Daphnia pulex: one gene and its partner. The protein of the gene in region 1 binds, or shares a complex with, the protein of each later gene. Links are inferred from orthologs where the notes say so. Each region holds a gene or a part of one and is shown in the gene's direction. Other genes may lie near its edges. The genes, in order: phosphatidylinositol 4-kinase beta-like and Golgi resident protein GCP60-like.

What was found.
Region 2: the proteins of phosphatidylinositol 4-kinase beta-like (region 1) and Golgi resident protein GCP60-like are in contact, whole or in part, in an NMR structure (PDB 2N73), measured with the Homo sapiens proteins. The link is inferred for Daphnia pulex from reciprocal best matches to the Homo sapiens genes PI4KB and ACBD3. Residues at the interface, in NP_001317650.1 of Homo sapiens: Val37, Gly38, Val42, Ile43, Asp44, Pro45, Val47, Ala48, Gln49, Lys50, Ala51, Cys52, Glu54, Val55, Leu56, Val59, Lys60, His63; in NP_073572.2 of Homo sapiens: Gln245, Ile246, Ala249, Leu250, Gln253, Thr254, Gln257, Phe258, Tyr261, Gln265, Tyr266, Leu276, Leu280, Gln283, His284, Gln287, Tyr288, Gln291, Leu292, Val295.

The regions. Positions count from the first base shown.
Region 1 is NC_060021.1:592,552-597,128, forward strand, and holds the start of phosphatidylinositol 4-kinase beta-like, read left to right. Parts: upstream 1-1,581; 5' UTR 1,582-1,781; intron 1,782-2,973; exon of another isoform or gene 2,974-4,422; intron 4,423-4,577. Other genes in the region: endoplasmic reticulum-Golgi intermediate compartment protein 3-like, read left to right, coding at 1-14; transcription termination factor 3, mitochondrial-like, read right to left, coding at 148-425, 490-580, 642-765, 826-1,412. UniProt on the Homo sapiens protein: Phosphorylates phosphatidylinositol (PI) in the first committed step in the production of the second messenger inositol-1,4,5,-trisphosphate (PIP). May regulate Golgi disintegration/reorganization during mitosis, possibly via its phosphorylation.
Region 2 is NC_060022.1:4,601,373-4,605,517, reverse strand, and holds Golgi resident protein GCP60-like, read left to right. Parts: upstream 1-1,439; 5' UTR 1,440-1,568; coding exon 1,569-1,665; intron 1,666-1,742; coding exon 1,743-2,447; intron 2,448-2,516; coding exon 2,517-2,641; intron 2,642-2,727; coding exon 2,728-2,896; intron 2,897-2,958; coding exon 2,959-3,194; 3' UTR 3,195-3,591; downstream 3,592-4,145. Other genes in the region: ubiquitin carboxyl-terminal hydrolase 10-like, read left to right, coding at 180-417, 480-545, 668-849; retinol dehydrogenase 11-like, read right to left, coding at 3,806-3,917, 3,988-4,145. UniProt on the Homo sapiens protein: Involved in the maintenance of Golgi structure by interacting with giantin, affecting protein transport between the endoplasmic reticulum and Golgi. Involved in hormone-induced steroid biosynthesis in testicular Leydig cells.

The DNA.
Region 1 (4,577 bases):
GAAAAGCTACATGAATAAAATTCACTGTCTCGATTAATTCTTTATTTCTTACACAGCCATTTTAATTTGTTTAAATAGGTTTGCAATAAAAATAAGTCCTAGTCAAATCATTTTTAGGTCGCTATTATTATTATTAAAACGATAACATCACACAGTTTTACAGAAATCATTGAATTCTTGAACGGAAGCTTTAGCAACGTGAACAGCAAAGTTCGAATCCGAATCACTTATTAATTTTAGTGGACTAACATAGTTTGGCAATTTAGGATCGTATTGAGCACGGTTCAAATAACACAAAAATCCGTGGCGCTGTTTAACCCGGAAACTTCGACTGGTCAGTACTCCAGGGAATTGTAGCATGGTTTCATGATCCATCTTAACTACATTGTGAAGATAGTCAAACCTGTCCAACAGCATTGGTTTGTCTGAAAATAATTGAAATCTTGAATTTTTTGAAGTATTTACACGAAATGAAAGAGATACTCATACTCATCAACCACAATTTTGGCTTTGTCAGAAGCATTTGTTTAATTTGCTGATGCTCAAATCCCATTTCTTCTTTGAACCCAAAATTCATCAACTGAAAGTTAAGAGCTTGTTAGATTGTTGATCATATTTAAAAAAAAAAAAAACTTGTATACCTTAATTTGTTGAATGTTACTTGTGATAAGCCGAGGCTCTCTTGACGCCAAAGCTCTCAGTTCATTACCGGTTAAATCGAATGTCTGTTGTACAAATCCAAGTCTAGTATCTATTCGTTGAGTGCTAAAAATACAAGATTAACAACTCTTTTAAAAATGTTAAGATACCTTTGAAATTATGTACCTGAATAGTAGCCAGAATGGATTTCTGGAAAAGATTCTAACAATCATTTCTGAAGTAAACTTTTTTGATTGTAAATATTTAGTTCTAATTTCAAGCTCTTCAATACTTGTCTTTAAAAGCAATGGACTTTTAGTGAAAATAGTTCCTAGAGATTCTGGTGAAACACCTTGATCTACCAGAAATTGGATGATGGGTTGCACATCTTTCTTGAAATCGAGCTTCACTATCCAAGAGTGTATGTTTCCCTTTTTTTCCCAATCATGAATAGATACGCCAAGTTTAACAAACGTCTGAAGAAGTTCTGACTTGTTTACTAAAGACGCTAAGTTGAAACTGGGGGCCACAATAGGTACAACTCCATCAAAATTAGGATCTTCCAATAATGGATTATTCTTTTCTTGAAATGGGATTAATTCTGTGCTGTCATCTAAGACATCACTCCCTGATTTGTTTATAGGAACAACAGAATGATTTCTTCTTACATTAGAAACTAGAATCCTATGCTCAACAAAATCTGCCCCATTTCTATTAGCAGTACTTTTTAGTAAAAACTGAATGTTCTTCAATCGGAGACACTGCCGTAACATTTTTTGTTGTGTAATTTGTTTTCAACTAATACGAATCAAATTCTACTGGAAAAACAGCTTAATTTGAAGAGTTGAGAACATTTACATCCGAAGTAATTTTAAACTTCACACAAACACAACAAACACGTGAAGAATTACTAGCAGAAGAAATCGTGTGACGACGTGGTCAATAAACTAACCGTTAGGTGGCGTCATGTGTTTTCTTTTTGATCGGGAGATGTGAGAGGCAAGATTCTTTGGTGGTCTCAATTCTCTAAACTGTGAAGCAAAATCGTGCAAGAAATAAGAAGAAAACTTGTATCTGATTGTTTGACATCCATAGGAAAACAATGGCGTTCGGCGCCCAATCAATCGAGACCCAATTCCACTGTAAGTGAATTCAAAAGTATTCTTTAGTTGAACTGTTAAGGTGCATAGCGACAACAGCCCTTTGCACAATATGTGACGGTATGTGTCAGTAATGGGGGCCTAATCTAATTGTCCCCCACAACAAAGCATAAAGATTCACGAATATTTTCAAGTAGAAAAAAACTTAATTGAACAGCTTTTTCGCAATGATGGTCAAACATCATCGATTATAGAATTGGTCACAAAAAAGAAAACGACAATCAAAAAATAAGTTGCCGAGTTCCTTCTTTTAGTGGAGTGAATACTCTTTTCAAGTACACATGCACTAGCCGTTTCCTTCCATTATTCGACTAGAAAGTTCCGCCGTTGGGTTTTGTATTTTAACCCATTAAGACTTATTGACTGGCCTCTTTTGTTGTTGTTTCTTTTTTCTCTTGTGTGTTATTTTACTTGACTGTCTCAACTGCCATGGCGGTCGACATTGTCTCCGCGCGTCATTATTTTTCAACCAGCCACCCCCCCTTAATGGTCAATTCATGTCTTAATCTTTTCGAGTTGAGTGAAAACAATATCGTCTGGAGCTGGATTGGTAAAAATTTCTGGAGGAATAGAAAGCGAGACCAACACTTGAAACACGAGAGCTTGCCGAATCGAAAAGATAACATGAATTAACCACGCCCCTTTTGAATTGCTTCCGCACATTGAGAAGGCCCTAGAGTGTGTGTGTCTGTCTCTAACTTGAAAAGGTCAATGAGTTTGATCGTTATTAGAGACTCTCTCTACTTTTTTACTGGCCTTCGGATTTCCATGAAAAACGGATGTTTGTGAGGACTTTTTTCCGACGTCGGATCTTCTCATGCGTGTGACGTGAAGGTCCTTCGGGACTTGACAAGAGTCTGTTAGGGCTACATCAAGGGTCCGAAAATAGCTTGAGAGAATCAGCAGCTATAGTACTGCTACTACAAGTGAGAGTGTTTGAGAGATAATATAAGCCAACGTGTGGGTTATATGGCGCGGTTTTTCTCTCGAGTCGGTACACACATAACCCAATTCCGACCAAAGTTTTGACTTTAATTGATACATTGCCCATTCTTTTTTCTACAACAATTTCGGTTGTTGACCATTTCATTATGTGTGTGTGTGTGTGGTCAAACCTTGGTCTAGATTTCTACAAGCTGATTGTTTCGTTGGAATGCGGAGGGGCCGCTGTCTGTGAGTCATCTCTCGTGGGTGTATGAGAATCCAAATTTCTTCAGAAGTGATTTTCATCTGAAAACCAGCAGCTTGGACACACAATATGTTGGTTGAAGATGAGAGAAACTGACAGGATGCTGGAGGCCCTTTTTGCTTTGCGTTTATAACGAGAAATGCCGTCATCTTATCAAGACCCCGAGATTATACTAATATCACCGAGGCTTGTGATCTCTGAGCAGCTGTACACAACTTGTTGAGTCAACCCCAGAGTCTTCCAGTTTTTTTAAAAGTCTCGAATAAAAATGTTTCCGTCCGTTCGGTTAGAAAAGGTTCTCTTACGTCATGGTAAGAGGGCGGAATTGTTCGCCATTCTGTCGAGTAATCGTTTCGCATTTGGCCAGAAGCGGTTGGGCAACTCAATTTTTGCAAAGGTGGCATTGAGATTTATAATACGAATATTCAATCAGTTTAAATGACGTCAGCTTGTAAAACCGAATCGTGATTCATGCATCTTTTCAAATGTCAAGCTTAAAACCGCTTTGAATCATTTCGATGTTGTTGTATATATTTTTTAACGCATTGCGTGGGTGAGTGACGTTGACATGGTGGAATTTTCAAAAGAATACGAGGGCTAAAATCGTGGGTTAAAAACTTGTCGAAATAACCCACTTTTGGGTCGTCTAAAGTGGCGCCTCTGGTGGCTGAAAAGTGAACCACGTGCTCCACCCTCTTATTGGGCGAGCTGCTTTTTAGCCTCGACTATTTCCACGGCCGTTCTGCTTTCCACCGTCAGTCTCTGGCCGCACCGTCAACTCTACGCTAGTTGTTGGGTTGTTGGCTGTCATTTCGTGTTGTATTTCCTTTTCTCGTGTGTGTGTGTGTGTGTGTGTAAAGATTTTTTGTGTGTTTCGGCGTGGCTTGGGCATTGGAATTCCAATCAACTTTCGACACATTTCCCTGTGTGATTTCCAAAACGTTTTTCCTGCTCGTTGTCTGTGTGTTTTTATGTTTTTGATTGGACCAAGTGACGGCTTTCCCTCCTTCGAGCTAGCAACAAGAGTTTTGTTTCTTTAACTCGAGTGTGTGGTGGCTAGGCGTTTTCTATTTCCTCCTCAGTGTGTGTGTCGCTTTTATTATTAACAAAAAAAAGAGATATTATATTCTGCCATTTTCTGGCCATTTTGGGAAAACTCTGATCCAGCACTTTGAGCTCACCAAAGTTTATTTTTTTCTCGTCAGCCGAGTATCGATCTGTTCTTCCAAGGGTGGGGTTTGAGCTTCAAGCCGGTGGGGGTTGGCAGCTACTACGCCCAGCGACTCTTTTAAACCCTCTGCTCATCACCTTGCGAAAAAAGAAGAAAATACGAAGCCAAAATGACAGATGTCAAACAACATGTCGACTGCTGCTAAATAAGTAATGGGCGACTCACGGAGTAATAATACAACGACTGCTGTGATATCAACAAAGGTATTTTGACGCCATTTTTACTCTCTTCATATATTTCCCACCTTCTTTTTTAAAAGAAGAAATGGCTACCAATTCATGTGTGTAAAGCCACAGCTAAGAGTCAACACATGTAGAAGGGTGGAAGAGAATGCTGTCAAAGACCTTGGTCGATGGTT
Region 2 (4,145 bases), on another chromosome or scaffold:
ACTTGTAGCGTTACTTCAGTGGAAAATTAATTGTTTGATAGGATTAGGGTGTCGGTGCCGTTCTGGCATTGGCATTCAAACATCCTTGGCGACGTTTGAAGGCTTGAGAGTTGAGCTATCATTTATGCTAGTTTCATAGAAAGTTCTACTACAATGTTTTTAAAATTTTTTTTCTACAGAATGAAAAGGTTAATTCCGTCCGTGACGCGTTGGCCTGTCTGGTAAGCAAAGAACCGTTGACCGGTTATATTTGTCCGAAGACTGGTCAAGAGGTGGAGGCTTCTCGACAGACTACTCTTGAAGAACTGCCCCCTATTTTAATCTTACACTTAAAGTGTTTCGTGTATGACAAATCTGGTGGATGTCAAAAGCTGATGAAGAGAGTGGACTTCTCTTCCGATTTGGAATTGAGTAAAGGTATTCAGAATATAAAGTGTTTTATATATACATATATTTCAATTTTATATTTTCATGTCAAGACTTCCTGTCACCAAGCCAGAAAAGTAAACTCAAAGAAAAACAGCGACAGTACAAGTTATTTGCAGGTCAGTGTTTGTGTCTGATTTTTATGTATTTTCATGCGTTGTGTTAATAAGTTCTGTGAATTGTGATAAGCAAGTTAGCTTAGTTGTAGAAACATTCATTCTAACGTCTCATTTTCTTACAGTTGTTTATCACGATGGAAAGGAAGCGACCAAAGGACATTATGTAACTGAAGTGCATCACAGTGGGACTGGAAGTTGGCTTCGTTTTGACGATAGCATTGTGCGTGTTGTGGAGACTCAACCCTTTAAATATAATTTGCCGAGGATGCCGTACTTGTTACTCTACAGGAAATTGAACGTGTAAATTTTTTTTGCTAATATTGAAAAGTCGCGCGGTTTATTTCTTGTAATAGATGCTGTTAAAGAATATCTTCGTGGTATTCTCCAGTATGAGAAATGAATCCGTCGTTGTTTTTTTTCTTGCATATTCCTGTTATGCGAGTGTCCTTGACCTTTTATTGTGGATGTGGTCGGAAGTGCCCTTAGTGGTCTGATGTTTAATTGCTTTCATTTGACGTTGGTTAATGTGGTATTTGTGTTCGAAAATTGGATTGAGCGTGATATAATATGATCGGATGATTGTAGTCAGCAGATTTTTATGTGTTGTTTCAAATGAAATCGGTACGTTTCGTATTTGTACTGTTTAGAAACCACCGCATCTTCGTTTCTTGTACAAAAATATAATAAACTTAACTAAAGTTAAATTTCTCTGAGTCAAGATTTTCATTACGTTTCAATAAGTGTATTGCATTATAGTAGAAAAGAACGCGAGTTGAGCGACTAAAAAGAACTCATAAATTCAAAATATGGAACCGGCGAACCGCTGGCATGCCGCTGGGCGGGCGCTGGAACTCTTGATCGTTTGGTAAAGTCGAACTGGCGACGTCGCACAGAATATTGTTATTTTTTTTTCAGTAATTTTTTTGTGACGTTTCCTCCCTGAGTGCAGACAGAATTACTTTATTTTATTGCCAGCAAGGCACAATTGAGGATTGCTTAAGAACAAGTTCTTGTATTACTATAATGGAGAAGCCTTGCCCAGTGACCAGCTCAGAATTTCTTGAGAAATGGGGTTGTGATTTAGAGACCTTGTACAAACTAGGGATTAAATTCTTAAAGGGTAATATATGTTTTATCTGTTTAAACCTTGTATGTGCATCTGTTCTCATGGTTTTGTATCTTCATTTTTATCAACAGATAAAGAAGGAAAAGCTTTTCATTTAGGCTATGATCAGAAATGTAAGCTTCTGGCATTTACCCAACAAGTTTCTAATGGCCCATTCAACCCTGATCTCCACGGAAATGTGGGTGTACTTGATGTTATAGGAAAAGATCGAAAAATCGCTTGGCAGAAGCTTGGAGACATAGGCAGAGAAAGTGCTATGCTAAGTTTTGTTGAAATTCTTAATTCAGCTTGCCCTTTGTTCCATGCATGTGTTGAGGCTCACAAAAAAGAAATTGAAATGAAAGCTGAAAAAGAGAAAGAAGATTTAGAATTTCAACTTAAAGAAGTAGAGAGATTGAAAATAGAAGCCGAAGAAGATGCTAAAAGAGAAATTCAAATGAAAGAACAGGAAGAAAAACGAAAGCAAATCAAAGAAGCTCTGAATTTACAAACCTATGACCAGTTCAAAACTTATGCCGAGCAGCAGTATCCAGAAAATCCAGATCAACAAGCTATTTTGATCCGGCAGTTACAAGAGCAACATTACATTCAGTACATGCAGCAGATATATCAGCAGCAAATCCTATCACAGAACATTACCAAGGCTGAAGACAGTGAGTTTTCTCAAGAGTTACCACTGGATGTTGAAGCTGCAGCACTAAATGCTTTAGCAAGTATTCAGAACATCCCACTAGAACCTGACAATTTTTCTGAAGCTAGTGGTAATGATGAAGAAGGTATGTTTTTATTCATAAAATTCCTTTCAAAAGGACTGCCATCCAATTATTGATTTTTTTTTTGTGTAGAGCTTGCTGCCGATATCGTAGCTGCTTCTATGTGGACACGTAAAGATATACGGGAATTCAAAGATTCAGTCTACAAAGAAGGAAAGGATTCTATTATCAAAGTTGGACACGGCGAAACTGTCACGGTTCGTTAGACTTCAAGCGCTATATACATTTTATGCAAAATATATATAGCTATTTCATTTATTTAACTAAATGTGATTCGCTTCAGGTTCGAGTTCCAACTCACGAAGATGGGTCTTGTTTGTTTTGGGAATTTGCAACTGATAATTATGATATTGGATTTGGATTGTTTTTTGAATGGACAAAATCACCTACTGAACAAGTGTCTGTTCATATTTCGGACAGCGAAGATGAAGATGACGACGATGACGAAAATGGTAATTTTGCTTGAACAAATATTTATTTTAACGACTTGTGATTAATATCATGTAATATCAAGTTATAGAAGACGATGTGGAGCAAGGAGGCAACAACTCAAGCCATTCAGCTCTTATTGACTCAAACAGGCCTCCGATCTCAATCGTCATTCCGGTGTATCGGCGTGATTGTCAAGAAGAAGTATACGCTGGCAGCCACACATATCCTGGTCAAGGAGTTTATCTTTTGAAATTTGATAACTCTTACAGTCTCTGGCGATCTAAAACTTTATACTACAGAGTTTATTATACTCGTTGAACGATTCCGATGTTTTTGACACAAATTTTCCTCTGCCATCTTTGTCTGTTCATATACAACTTCAATAGCTATGTTGTTTACAGTAAATCGATCTTGACGTGAAAGTAATGTGCGACTATAATAGCTGATCGGTTTTTTTTCCGCAACATATTTTTGGTCTGATTCTGTTTTAGATCACCGGACTTGATATGCAGTATTACATCATCTTCATGTATTCACGCTAACTTAAATTTTATCTTTAACACGTTTCTTTAAGTTACCATACCAAAAACAAAACACCCAAAGTTCTTTTTGTTCAGCGATCGGTTTACCATGTACAGATGCACTCATCTCTCCAGTTGTACTTCTGACTGACCTAATTTTCATGCTTTGGATAAACAAATATTTTTTAGTCTAATACCTGCTTCTTCGGTATTTTTATAAGTTGTGGCATACAAAAGGGAGAAAGACATTCTCTAGTTGATTTTTTGGCCTCTATTGATAAGGTTTCCAGGAAGAACCCAAGTTGTAGGTCTTCTAACCATTGCATAACTGGACTTTAAACCCAAATTAAAAAAAAGCAATATTTTCTTTAAATTTCATTTATTCAGTGTCATGACATGATGCGACATTTAATTAGAAGAGCCGTAGCTGAAATTCACCAATTTCTCACTGATTTCCCACAAGCGACGTGCCGCCTCTTTGTTTTCGGCTTGTCTTGCTGGTCTCTCTTCCGCACAGTCACTAGAATTAACGGGGGAAATGTGTTATCTTTGATAAACTAATCGATTGTACTAACAATATAAGGTGTTACCTGTAATAAAGGCCGGTCCGACTGGAAAGGGAAGGCTCGGTTGCACAATATATAGTCGTTTGCGCACCCATTTCGGGTGTTTTAAAAAAGTATTGTCCAAACCAATGGAACATGTCATCCACCAAACGATTGGTTGTCACACGCAGATGCCTACCAAG